4 separate regions of the Mus musculus genome follow, and regions 2, 3 and 4 are each reported to be linked to region 1. The links are microRNA targets in miRTarBase. Many come from high-throughput screens and were not tested one by one. Region 1 holds a microRNA gene; each other region holds the end of a gene's coding sequence.
The links. Region 1 holds the annotated microRNA mmu-miR-466f-3p (CAUACACACACACAUACACAC, at 1,630-1,650, shown strand). A microRNA usually pairs through its seed, bases 2 to 8, with sites in the 3' UTR of a target mRNA and lowers its output. Matches are read on the target gene's strand: a 7mer-m8 pairs with bases 2 to 8, a 7mer-A1 pairs with bases 2 to 7 and ends in A, and an 8mer does both.

Region 2: miRTarBase lists Lrrc19 as a target of mmu-miR-466f-3p. Seed matches in the 3' UTR shown: 7mer-m8 at 1,517-1,523.
Region 3: miRTarBase lists Gja5 as a target of mmu-miR-466f-3p. Seed matches in the 3' UTR shown: 7mer-m8 at 1,537-1,543.
Region 4: miRTarBase lists Gabarapl2 as a target of mmu-miR-466f-3p. The part of its 3' UTR that is shown has no 7-base or 8-base seed match.

Annotation. Positions count from the first base shown.
Region 1 is chr2:10,467,100-10,470,099 of GRCm38, forward strand. Mir466f-2 (microRNA 466f-2) reads left to right here and starts at 1,576; the gene lies at 1,576-1,669. The region is part of intron 10 of Sfmbt2 (Scm-like with four mbt domains 2); the gene reads left to right. Mir669f (microRNA 669f) reads left to right here and starts at 130; the gene lies at 130-250. It overlaps Mir669e (microRNA 669e), which reads left to right and starts at 396; the gene lies at 396-514. It also overlaps Mir669b, Mir669d and Mir669l.
Region 2 is chr4:94,635,441-94,638,652 of GRCm38, reverse strand. Lrrc19 (leucine rich repeat containing 19) reads left to right here. Exons shown (of 5, transcript NM_175305.5): 5 at 101-2,932. The coding sequence ends at 429. Ift74 (intraflagellar transport 74) reads right to left here. Exons shown (of 20, transcript NM_026319.3): 8 at 2,818-2,879. Among named protein-coding and RNA genes, the nearest start is that of Lrrc19, 13 kb to the left of the region's middle.
Region 3 is chr3:97,051,189-97,054,400 of GRCm38, forward strand. It overlaps Gja5 (gap junction protein, alpha 5), which reads left to right. Exons shown (of 2, transcript NM_008121.3): 2 at 1-2,446. The coding sequence ends at 517. It overlaps 4930573H18Rik (RIKEN cDNA 4930573H18 gene), which reads right to left. Exons shown (of 4, transcript NR_152120.1): 3 at 2,606-2,655. Among named protein-coding and RNA genes, the nearest start is that of Gja5, 20 kb to the left of the region's middle.
Region 4 is chr8:111,951,920-111,955,131 of GRCm38, forward strand. Gabarapl2 (gamma-aminobutyric acid (GABA) A receptor-associated protein-like 2) reads left to right here. Exons shown (of 4, transcript NM_026693.5): 4 at 396-996. The coding sequence ends at 486. Among named protein-coding and RNA genes, the nearest start is that of Gabarapl2, 13 kb to the left of the region's middle.

The DNA of each region.
Region 1 (3,000 bases):
CTGGGCCAGTGAATGGTCTCACTCAGAAGGTGAAAATGCTTGCCAGAATCAGGAGAATCAGGAATTCAAATTCATGCTCAACTTCCTGAGAATTTAGAGATTAGTCTGTGATTCATGTGATGCCCCCCATGTATGTGCCTGTGTGTATAGTTGTGTGTGCATGTGCATGTGTGTATATGAATATACATATACATACACACACACGTATAAACGCAAGCACAAACACACACAGAGGAATGGCACTCGTTGATCCATTTGAATGATATGTGACTTAGAGCTTTAGAGATTATGTAGTATTGGGCCACTGAAACTTTTCATTCACCAGGGAAGGCTTGCCAGAGCATCAGTATCCAGAGTTCAAAATCATGCTTAACTTCATAATGAGTTAAAGATCAGCCTGGGATTCATGGGCTGTACCCTATATATGGGCAGGTGTGTGTCTTGTGTGTGCATGTTCATTTGTGTATATGAATATGAATATACACACACTTACACACTCATGCACACACACACACATCCATTTGAATGATATGTGTCTTAGAGCTTGAGAGTTTAGGCAGGACAGTGCCAGGGAGAGATCTCACTCACCAGGTAACAATGTTTGCCATACTCAGGAGGATTAGGAGATGAAATTCATGCTTAATTTCATGATGAGTTAGACATCAGCCTAGAATTCATGGGATGTCCCCCATGAATGTATGTGCATGTGTATATAGTTTTGTGTGCATGTGCATGTGTGTCTATTAATGTACATATACATACACACAAACATATACACGCATGCGCAGATACAGACACAGAAATGGCTTTCATCGATCCATTTGTATAATATGTAAATTTACTGGGCCAGTGAGACATCTCACTCACCAGGCAAAAACATTTCTCACAGTCAGGAGAATCAGGAGTTCAAATTCATAATAACTTCATGATGAGTTAGAGATCAGCCTTGTGTTAATGTGATGACCCCTATGTATGTGCATGTGTGTATATTTATGTGTGCATGAAAATGTATGTATATATGAATATACATATACATACATACCCACACAAACATGCACACACACACAAACACACCCACAATTGCCACTTACCAATCCATGTGAATGATATGCAACCTAGAGGTTAGAGATTGAGTATTCCTTTGCCCAAAAGAGCTCTCTCTCTCTCACCAGGTGAAAATGCTTGCAGAGTAAGGAAGAACAGCAGTAAAAATTTATGCTTAATTTCATGATGAGTTAGAGATCAGCCCGGGATTTGTGTGTTGCTTGCTCTATATGTGTGTATACTTGTGTGTGCATGTATATGTGTGTATATGAATATACATATACATACACACCCATATACACACGCATGCATGCACACACACAAATACATATACACAGGAATGGCACTCATCGATCCATTTGAATGATATGTGACTTAGAGTCTTATAGATTATGCAGTAGTGTGTCAATGAACGGTCTCACTCACCAGGTGAAAATGGTTGACAGAGTCAGGAGGATCAGGAGTTCAAATTCATGATTAACTTCAGTTAGAGATCATCCTGGCATTCATGTGATGCCACCCATGTATGTGAATGTGTGTTTACGTGTGTGTGCATGTGCATGTGTGTATATGAATATATGTATACATACACACACACATACACACTCATGTAACACACACACACACACACACACGAATGGCACTCATTTATCCATTTGAATGATATGTGACGTAGAACTATAGAGATTATGTAGTACTGGGCCAGTGAGTGCTCTCACTTTCTAGTTGAAAATGCTTGCCAGAATCAGGAGAATCAGGAGTTCAAATTCATGCTTACATTCATGAGGATTTAGAGATCAAACTGTGAATCATGTTTTGCCCCCCATGTTTGTGCATGTGCGTATAGTTGTGTGTGCATGTATATGTGTGTATATGAATATACATATACATACACACCCATATATACACGCATTCATATGAACACATCAACACACACGCAGGAATGGTATTCATCGATTTATTTTATTGATATGTGATTTAGAGCTTTAGAAATTATGTAGTACTGGGCCAATGAAACTTTTTACTCACCAGATATAAACGATTGGTATAGTCAGAAAGATCTGGAGTTCAAATTCATGCTTAACTTCATAATGAGTTAGAGATCAGCCTGGTATTCCTGGGATGTACCCCGTGTATGTGCATGGGTGTATAGTTTTGTGTGCATTTGCCTGTTTGTATATGAATATACATATCCATACATACAATCATATACAGGCACACAAAGACACACAGACATGAATGGCACTCAGTGATTCATTTGAATGATATGTCACCTCAAGTTTTGGAGGTTATGCAGTACTTGGCCTGAGAGGGGTCTCAGTCAGCAGGTGATAATGTTTACCAGAGTCAGTAGGCCCAGGGCCTGGCAAACGCAGAAGTGGATGCTCACAGTCAGCTATTGGATGGATCACAGAGCCCACATTGGAGGAGCTAGAGAAAGTACCCAAGGAGCTGAGGGGATCTGCAACCCTATAGGTGGAACAACAATATGAACTAACCAGTACGCCCCGGAGCTTGTATCTCTAGCTGCATATGTATCAGAAGATGGCCTAGTCGGCCATCAGTGGAAAGAGAGGCCCATTGGTCGTGCAAACTTTATATGCCTCAGTACAGGGGAACGCCAGGTCCAAGAAGTGGGAGTGGGTGGGTAGGGGAGTTGGGGGGGGAAGGGTATGGGGGACTTTTGGGATAACACTGGAAATGTAAATGAAGAAAATACCTAATAATAAAAGAGTTCAATTTTATCCTTAACTTCACGATGAGTTAGAGAGGAGCCTGAGATTTTTGTGATGATCCCGTGATGTATGTGTGTATATTAATATACATATACATAAACTCATACATACACATACATGTGACACCCACATATGAATGGCACTCATCGATCCATTGGAATTATTTGTGACTTAGAGCTTTAGAGATTATGTAGTACTTGGCCACTGAAAGTTTTGATTC
Region 2 (3,212 bases), not on the chromosome of region 1:
GTGTATTAGTAATTTTATTCACAGAAAACTGTAAAGTATGTTCCTTTCCAATTCTGCTTGACTTCTGTCAACTTAACAAAATTTCTCTCTTCTATTTAAGAGCATGAGCCTCTTGGGAAAAGCTGGGCTTTCCTGGTTGGTGTTGTTGCCACTGTACTGCTAACTTCACTGCTTATCTTCATTGCTATCAAGTGCCCAGTATGGTACAATATTCTGCTGAGTTACAACCACCATCGCCTGGAAGAGCATGAGGCAGAAACCTATGAAAATGGTCTTACAAGAAACCCAAGTTCTCTTTCACAAATAACAGATACGAACTCTGAAGACACCACAGTGATATTTGAACAGTTGCATGCATTTGTGGTAGATGATGATGGGTTTATTGAAGACAGATACATAGATATCAATGAGGTACATGAAGAAAAGTAATTTTATCGTGTTTAAATTCTGAAAAATACTTTCAGACTATTTACAGCTTAGACAGAGATTTTTATTTGGCAAACAAAACTATAAACAGCAAACCTTCATATTAATTAGTACCTTATGTTAATATCACAGTTATTACTTTTTTCTATATGTCACAAGGAAGTCTAAATGCAATTACTCATACACTGGTTAGCTGTAAGTTTAATGATTTATCTATACTACCAGCATTTACTAGTGTCAGCAGTGTTCGGGAAACTACAGACTGCTAAAAACAAGGCCTAAGGACAATTATTTATCAACTAAAATGAGCAGATTCTTATATTAAAAAATACACATGCTGTGATGTCTTAAATTATACTAAAATTGTAATCAATAAAGAAATACAAATTTTAGGCTTATATTATCAAAGTGAGGAACAGGCAGCTTTAACTATATAAAGTGATCTTATGTTCACAAATGAATTCACAGAATTAAAGAATATGCTGCCTAAACTTAAAAACAAAATTTCCTCAAAAATTTGTAGCACTTTAAAGCACAGATGTAGTGATTTGGAATAATCCCTACTAACCACTACTGCATTTGACAGTGGTTGTTAGGAAGAATTCCATATACAACTGCCATGATTGATATTACAATGGCTCCTAAAATGGGCATCATAACAATTATGAATTTTCTTTAAAAGACTAAACGTTTCTCTATTTCTTTTGGGAGATTATTTTTAAAATTATTGTGAGCTAGAACTGAGAATATTTAAGTAATCCACACACATCTATCTCTGTTTCAATAAACAGAGCAATGTTTCCCAAATTGATTTGTAGAACACTGATTTTCTATAATGACACTGACAACCATTTATAGAGGAAGAAAAAGGCAACTGGTCAAATTACTGAAGGAATCTAAATCTAAACATAGTTAAAGATTTTTTTCCTTTAGTACTTATAGATTTTACTAAGTTCAGGTGTTCTCTGATAACTCAAGAGTACAGTACTAAGTTTTTGAAGGGCATCTATATAGCATGTTCAGGTCCCTGGGTTCATTTCTCTCTCTCTCCTCTCCTCTCTCTCTCTCTCTCTCTCTCTCTCTCTCTGTATGTGTATTCCATACACACACAGAAACATTAAAATTTATTTGATAAACAAACCCTTTCTTGGAAGAATAGCTAATAGCTCACAACATATTAATAGATTAAAAGACACATTCTGAAAAAATAGCCCTAACATAGGAAGGGTCTATCTAAAGTGAAATGTTTGCCAATTCTCTTATAATAGCTAAGCCGCAAATATTATTTTAACAACTTAACAGTTTAAAGAATGAAATTAAAAACCAGCAAAATATGTATTTTACCATTGTATACATGGAAAAACTAAGTGTATTTACTTGCATCTGTAAAACACTGAACATTTATGGATGAAGTAGTGTAACACATTTTCTGTGATTTTCTTTGTATACATGAGAAGGAAAAGAGTTGAAGATGGAACACAGGTAGAAATGTGACAACAGACCTTGGTACATGATACACGAGCATACAATGCTCTGACATTCCAATTTCTCTTTAATAAAGATATTCAAAAGAATGTACATGATACCTTCTTACAAAAAAAGACTAATAATGAAGATCTTTTCATAATTTTCAAATAATGCTCATCAAGGACAATGTACAAAGCCTACTGATTGATAACTTCTTTCACTGAAGTGGAACTAAACGATCATAGTTCAATCTACTTAAAAGCCTAGGTTAAAATTCTAAGTGCTAGATATAAAGACATAATTCGTCTTAGAGTTTAAGTCTTTAGAAGCAGAAATCTTCTTATAAACTGGGTAGACCTTCCCTTTGTATAGAATTTAGCTCCTTGGGAGTAAATAAAACAGCATATATTTGACATTTAGATAAATTTAATATTAAGATGTTATGGTAAATTAAGAAATGATGATACATTTTCTATTACAAATATGTACTTTAAATGTAAGGTTTCAGTAAGATGCCAGTTGTGGTTCTTGTTAGTAATCCCAGCACTTGGGAGACAGAGTCAGAGATACTGACAAACTTCTGGGTTTGAGTACGATATCAACTCATAAGAATCCAACAATTAAGGGCTGGAGAGATGGCTCAGTGGTTGGGAGCACTGAATACTCTTCCAGAGGCCCCAGATTCGGTTCTCAGCACCCACATGGCAGCTCACAGCTCTCTGTGGCTCCAGTTTCAGGTGCTCCAATGCCCTTGCAAGACATATACGCAGGAAGAATGTCAGTGCACATGAAATAAAAACAAATAAAAGTTTAATCCAACAATTAACAAAATCAAAATAAGAGAAAAAGTTAAAATTGTATAAGGAAATAAATGACTCACAAGTTAAGTCACATACCAAAATTCATTTATGCATATGTACTTACGCTTGTCTTTCAGTAAATATGACATCCATACTTTGTGTTTCTCTGTCATTTTGAGCTTTAAGCTGTGTAAACAGTTAACACAGACATTATTCATTAAAAATAAAGGGTAAGCACCAAACTCTATGTAGCAATTACTCTAAAGATTATGATTTAAATGGGATTATTATAATTACAATAATGCCACATGCAGAAGTTAGAAAAAAATACAACTTCCTCTAACAAAAAACACTACCAGATAAATAAATTAGTCCTTATATTAACATAATAAGCTCATACCAAAATACTTCATTTTTCTTTAGTCATCTATCCAATAATTAAATTTAAACTTAATTTATGTAAACAACATTTCAGAAATATACTGTATGTTCACTAAATACTTGGTTAAGGGCTAAAGA
Region 3 (3,212 bases), not on the chromosome of region 1:
GAGTCCCTGTCCCCACCCAGTCAACTGTTATGTTTCGAGGCCCACGGAGAAGAATGTCTTCATTGTCTTTATGATGGCTGTGGCTGGACTGTCTCTGTTTCTCAGCCTGGCTGAACTCTACCACCTGGGCTGGAAGAAGATCCGACAGCGCTTTGGCAAGTCACGGCAGGGTGTGGACAAGCACCAGCTGCCTGGCCCTCCCACCAGCCTCGTCCAGAGCCTCACTCCTCCCCCTGACTTCAATCAGTGCCTAAAGAACAGCTCCGGAGAGAAATTCTTCAGCGACTTCAGTAATAACATGGGCTCCCGGAAGAATCCAGACGCTCTGGCCACTGGGGAAGTGCCAAACCAGGAGCAGATTCCAGGGGAAGGCTTCATCCACATGCACTATAGCCAGAAGCCAGAGTACGCCAGTGGAGCCTCTGCGGGCCACCGCCTTCCTCAGGGCTACCATAGTGACAAACGGCGCCTTAGTAAGGCCAGCAGCAAAGCAAGGTCAGATGACCTGTCAGTGTGATCCTCCTTTTAGGGAGGGCCAGGCCCAGGAGGGATCTAAGGAGTGTGAGGCAGGAAAGAAACAGTCTCTCTCGTGATGGTATACTCTCCTCAGCACTACTTTGCTCTGTCTGTCCTGGGTCTGGGTGGCATTCATTGGCATTCATTGCTCGTTATCCTCAAAATTACAGTTCTGAGTCTTCTCAATGACTGGGCTACTCCTCAAGTCTCATTCCCTCCTACTCATCTACCAGTATTCACAGTGAAGCCATAGTGGAGGCAGGATCAGGAACCGTGGCAAAATCTGGTCTGGGGAGGACAGGTTCAACACCAGCAACATACCAGATAGACCCCCCACCCACCCCAAGTCTTCTCTTTGGTACTATGCCCATCCTCTTGTTTTGTTTTGTTTTGTTTTTTCTTAAGAGCCCAAGGTTGAGAGTATTCATCAAGTAATCTGCCCTGTATCATTCCTTTGAATCAGTTGTTTCCATGTGCCATACCTCGGAGTGCTGGTGAGGTAACTGTGGGCTGCCCTTGGCTGCATCTCCTTCCTCCCAGTCTTAAAGGGGTATCCTTGGTCCTTGGCCAGCATCAGATTTACAAGTGCCTTGGTATGTACCTTTGGCAAATGTTTCATGTTGATGATGTCTCAGCCTTACTGCCAGGCTAGACACCCAGCTCGTAAGGGTGCCAAGACCTCCAGAAGTCACTGTGCACACAAGCATCGCTGGAATTGCCACCAGCTGTCATCCTGCGGTCCTTTATAGTTTAACCTAATGACAGAAACCATCCTGGCCGGCTCACCCACCGTTCCTCTAAAATCTTTGTTAACAGGAATGTCCAAAGTCACCATCCTCTCTTGGATCCTGGCCAGATTACCAGCCACCAAGTTCAGTGGAATTTCCCCAGGATTTACTGAAACAAAGAGAGCATTGTGCTTCTCGGGTTCTTCTGGGTCTGGGGATGGGGGTGGAGGGGGAAATTCTGCTGTGAAGATGAAAAGGTGGGGGGAGGACACTGAAAAACTATTTTCCCTTCTGTGTATGCCTTCCACTGTCTGCCAGCTTTTAATGCCGAGAGGTGTGGTGATAGCAATTGAGGCCCAAGATCTCTCTTAGAGGCATCAAGGAGACATGGAAGCAGAAAGGGTCCAGTTGGTTTGGACCCTTATTTAGTGCAGATATTCCTATGTTTTCTTGGTACCCCTAGGTACAACAGGGGAGGACTGTAGAAAATCCCTGCCTTCCTCAGGGTCTATCCTGGGGTATCTACTGAGTGGATCCATCTTATGCAGATGGAAGAAGCTCAGCACCAGATACCGAGATTTACAAACACAATACTGTGTGTGTGTGTGTGTGTGTGTGTGTGTGTGTGTGTTTGTGTGTGCATGCCCATCCATCTCTGTGTGCCTCTGTGTGTGTGTGCTCGTGTGTGCATGCAGATAGAATGGTGAAGAAGAGCCCTGAAGAACGATAAGGAAACATGTAGAGAAACTTGGGTCTTTCTGCTTCCTTCTCAGTTGTCTGGCAGGAGGGCTGAGCTTGCTTCTTAATCAGCCTAAAGATCAGGCATGAGAAGTTCAGGAGGGTGAAGGGTCAGAGGTCAGTCCCTGTCCCAGTGACCCATCTCTGGGTCCCTCTGCTGGCATTTGGTTGCTACTAATGGATAGAAAGAAATTGACTGAGGATACCTGGGAAAGGAAGACGGGCTGTTCCAGTCCCAGTGCATTTCATCCATTCCCGACACTGGCACTAAGACTCTCTGTTCTGGCTATGGAGTGTGTGTTTGTTTTCTGAAATGGGATTTTTTTGAATTAGAAAATCTGAGACCAGTCGTTGATGGTGAGGTTTTTTTTGTTTTCTGTTTTTTTTTTTTTTTTTTTTTCAGAAGAGAAAGAGGAAATACTATGTTTGACTGGTTTTAAATAAAATCTATCTCTACATGCCAACTCTGGTTTGTGTCTCCTTCAGGCTGTGGCTTAAGAGGGTGGCAGACTTGATGGGGGAAGGGAGAGCATGGAGTCAGACACACAAGGGTTAAAATCCCTGCTGCTGGCCTCCTCCTGGCCAGCAGTGAGCTACTTCACATCTGAAGTTTTGTTACTCACCTGTCAATCCATCTAGGGATGCCTGCTCCGTTAGGCTGTGAGGTGAGAGGCTGCATAGGAAGAGAAGAACAGATTCTCTCAGGCAGGCATAAGAGTTTACAGTTGAGGAACAATTATTATTATTTTCAATATAAAGTGATGGGGAACCCAAAGCATTAAGGGATAATTCTAGGCCTTCCTCTTTTGGAGTTCACAGCATGATCTACCTGAAGTGAACAAATGAACTCATAAAGGACACAATTAAGGTGCACCCAGGAGATGGCTCAGTAAACAAGAGCAGTTGATACGCAAGCCTGAGGACTTGAGTTCAAATCCCCAGCACCTGCATATAAAGCTAGGCATGGCCATTATTAGCATGTAAACCTAGCACTGTGTGTGTGTGTTGGGGGACAGAGGGGATTGGGGGTGGGGCGAGACAAGGATGCTGAGCCTAGCTCTGAATTTAGAAGACAGAGGGTGATAGGGCAGGATACCTTATGTTCTCTTTATGTTTTCCTGTGTTTATGTATGTATATCCTGCACCATATACCACACATATCAACCACACAGTCACATATACATACACACACACTGCATAGTCACTTCCATATAACACACACACCACACA
Region 4 (3,212 bases), not on the chromosome of region 1:
AATACGAAGAGAACCCAACATGTTCCCTGTGACAGTGGGATGATCCTTTCCATCTCCAAGGAGTTGGCTTCCTTACAGGTTTCAACATGAGTGCAGGGATTCTAGGCATGTGCTGGGCCTGCATCCTAATTTGTTGTGATCTCTGCCCTCTTTTTGTGGGCCCTGTGCCTGCTAGGTTAATGTTGTCAGTGAGCCACCGCCACCCCTCAGCCCATCTTCAGTTTTCCTTGCCTCTGTTTTCTTTCCGTAGAGCAGATTGCAGGTCACAGCAGGTACCGGAATTATTTTTACCTCCTAGCCACCAACCACAAAGCGTCCGATCCTTAGGCCTCATTTTTCCTCTTGATACCAGGACTCAATTCTCACTCATTTTTTTTTTTTTTTTCTCTTTCAAGCCTAACTATGGGACAGCTTTACGAGAAGGAAAAAGATGAAGATGGATTCTTGTATGTGGCCTACAGCGGAGAGAACACTTTTGGCTTCTGAGGCCCTTGCTGGGCTAGGTGCGCCCTTCCTGCTTGTGTCTCTTGTAAATAACTGGCTGTTCTCAGTTACTCTGCCAGAGCCTCCACACAGACCTACTAGTGCATTTGTAACTGGATTTATTTCTTAATATATTGGAAGGTTTTGTTTCCTTAGATTAGTAAATTATCATACAGAGTTTTATTTTCAGTTTTCTTTTTGTGCACTGTCCTCATGGCTATTTGCTCCAGGGAACCTGTCCTCTGGGAATCATATTTAATGAAGATATTTCCGTAATGAAGGGAGGTAGGTGTGGTGGTAAAGGGAAAAGGAGGGGCTGATGCATAGTTCTGGATTATGTTGAAAGTGTTAGATGGCTAAGTATTAAAAGCACCCAGATTAAATCCTTAGCAATCAGAACACTTGCTTCACTAGATTTTGCCAACTGCAAATCATGTTGGACTGAGCTAATCTATTCTTCTTTCTGAGACTATTAAGGTAAATAATTAACAATAAAGCCTCCTTATAAAGGCATCACGGTGTGACCATGTCCGTCATTCACCTCCACGAGTCAGGAGTGGCTCCTGCCTGTCAGGCTTGGAGAAGGGCTTGCAGGGGAGAGAGAGGCCTAGCCTAGGATGGGAAGTGCTGGTTGATATCAAAAGGGGATTGGTTTTTCAGTGGTCAATACAGTCAACAGGTTCAGATTTCAGGACTGTAAAAAGGTGTATACTGCAAAGTCTCGCTTTTACCACTTTTTCTGATCTCTGCTGCTTATGGAAAATTGTATGGGTTTCTTCTCAGTATTTGAGTAGCAAAATTTTAAGTATGAATATACTTTTTAAAAATTATTTATTGGTGTTTTGCCTGCACGTGTGTCTGTGTGGGTGCGGTCTGGATTTGGAGCTAGACAGTTGTGAACTGCTATGTGGGTGCTGGGAATTGAACCCAGGTCCTGTGGAAAAGCAGCCAGTACTAGTAATTGAAGAGCTATCTCTCTAGCTCCATGTATACATTTTTTTGTTTACATATGTAAGGCATGTGTGTATGTTAGTAAAGCAGAGGGGGTTGAAGAGATGGCTCAGCAGTTAAGGGCAATGGGTCCTGAGCTTAATTCCCAGCAACCACATGGTGGCTCACAACCGTATATAATGTGATCTGATGCCCTTTCCCTGTGTGCAGGTGTATATGCAGATAGGGCATTCATACAGATAAAAATAAATCTTTCTTTAAAAAAATAAAACATGTACTTACACACTGGATTTTGTTTTGAGACAGGGTTTCACTGTATAGTTCAGGCTGGGCTCCAACTTGTTATCTGCCTTGGTTTGGCTTTCATTAAGTCTTTACTTACATTCTAGCCTGATATACACACGTCCTTTATATGTGCTGTGTTCTTTTGAGACAGGGTCTCTCTATGTAGTCCTAGCTGTCCTAGAGCTTGTAATGAATCAGGCTGGCCTTGAACTCAGATCCTCCCGAGTGCTGGAGTCAAAGGTAGGCACCACCATGCCTGGTACAAACCCTTGTTCTTTAAGGTTCTCGCCAGTCCCTTTAATCTCTCATGACAATAGATGCTTGTTAGGACACAAAAGCATCTTCAAGAAAGTGGCTTTACATCTTCCACAGATGGACTGTGTTTGGTGACTGGTGACTGTAGCCTTACATCAGTCATCAGGATAAGGAAACCAATAGAACCCAGTGAGGGATCTAAGTAAGGGCCTGTAGGGAAAATGAGAATCATAAACTTAATTTTTAAAAGATTTACTTATTTATTAAATGTATATGAGTACATTGTAGTTGTCTTCAGACACCAGAAGAGGGCATTAGATCCCATTACAGATGGTTGTGAGTCACCATGTGGTTGCTGGGAATTGAACTCAGGACCTCTGAAGAGCAGCCAGTGCCCTTAACCACTGAGCCATCTCTCTAGGCCAAGAATGATGAACTTAAGGAATTTGTCTTATTTGATGTGTATGGCTGTTTTGTCTGCATGTATGTCTGTGCACCACTTGTATGCCTGGGGTATCAGATTCCTTAGAACTAACTGGAGTTACAAATGGTTGTGATTTGCCGTGTGGGTCCTCTGGAGACCATGCTCTTAGCCGCTAAGTTATCTCTCCAGCTCCTGCTCTTGGTTTTTTGATGTCTCATTTGTAGCCCCAGCTGGCCTGGGGCTGAAGGGATCACTTGCCTCTCTGCCTCTTGAGTGTCACCAATACCTGTCAAGACCTTTAATTTCACTGTTACCAGGATATATTATTAGCAGGCTAACACAGCTCTCTGATATCTTTCAACTGGAATTGGAAGAAACATTCTTATCACAAAGATCTTGTAGGGTTGTTTTTTTTTTTCCCTAACTTGACTCAAGAAAGAAAGATGTATGTTTGTCTTTGCTGGTAGTGTGAAGCTAGAAGCAAGTAGACCCTTCTCTCGGGTGACCAATGGGAAAGGGAAACTCAGGCCCTTGTTATGGGGCTTCTTGTTTGTGGTCACATGCACCTGTTTTCAAAACAAAATCCCCAAACATTGATTGGATGTACCAAATGAAGACTCAGATGCTGTGGTGAAAGCCACAAGGCTCAGAGAGGCAGAGCACACCCGGCTGAGCCTCCTCCTCCACCAACATCCCAGAAGATGAAAAGCTCCTCCAGGCTGTCTGTCAGCTCCCAGCCCCTCCTTTCTCCTTCCTGGGTTTTCTTATGTTCACTCCTGCCAACTGGCTGCTTCCTCTGCCTCTTTACTTTGTT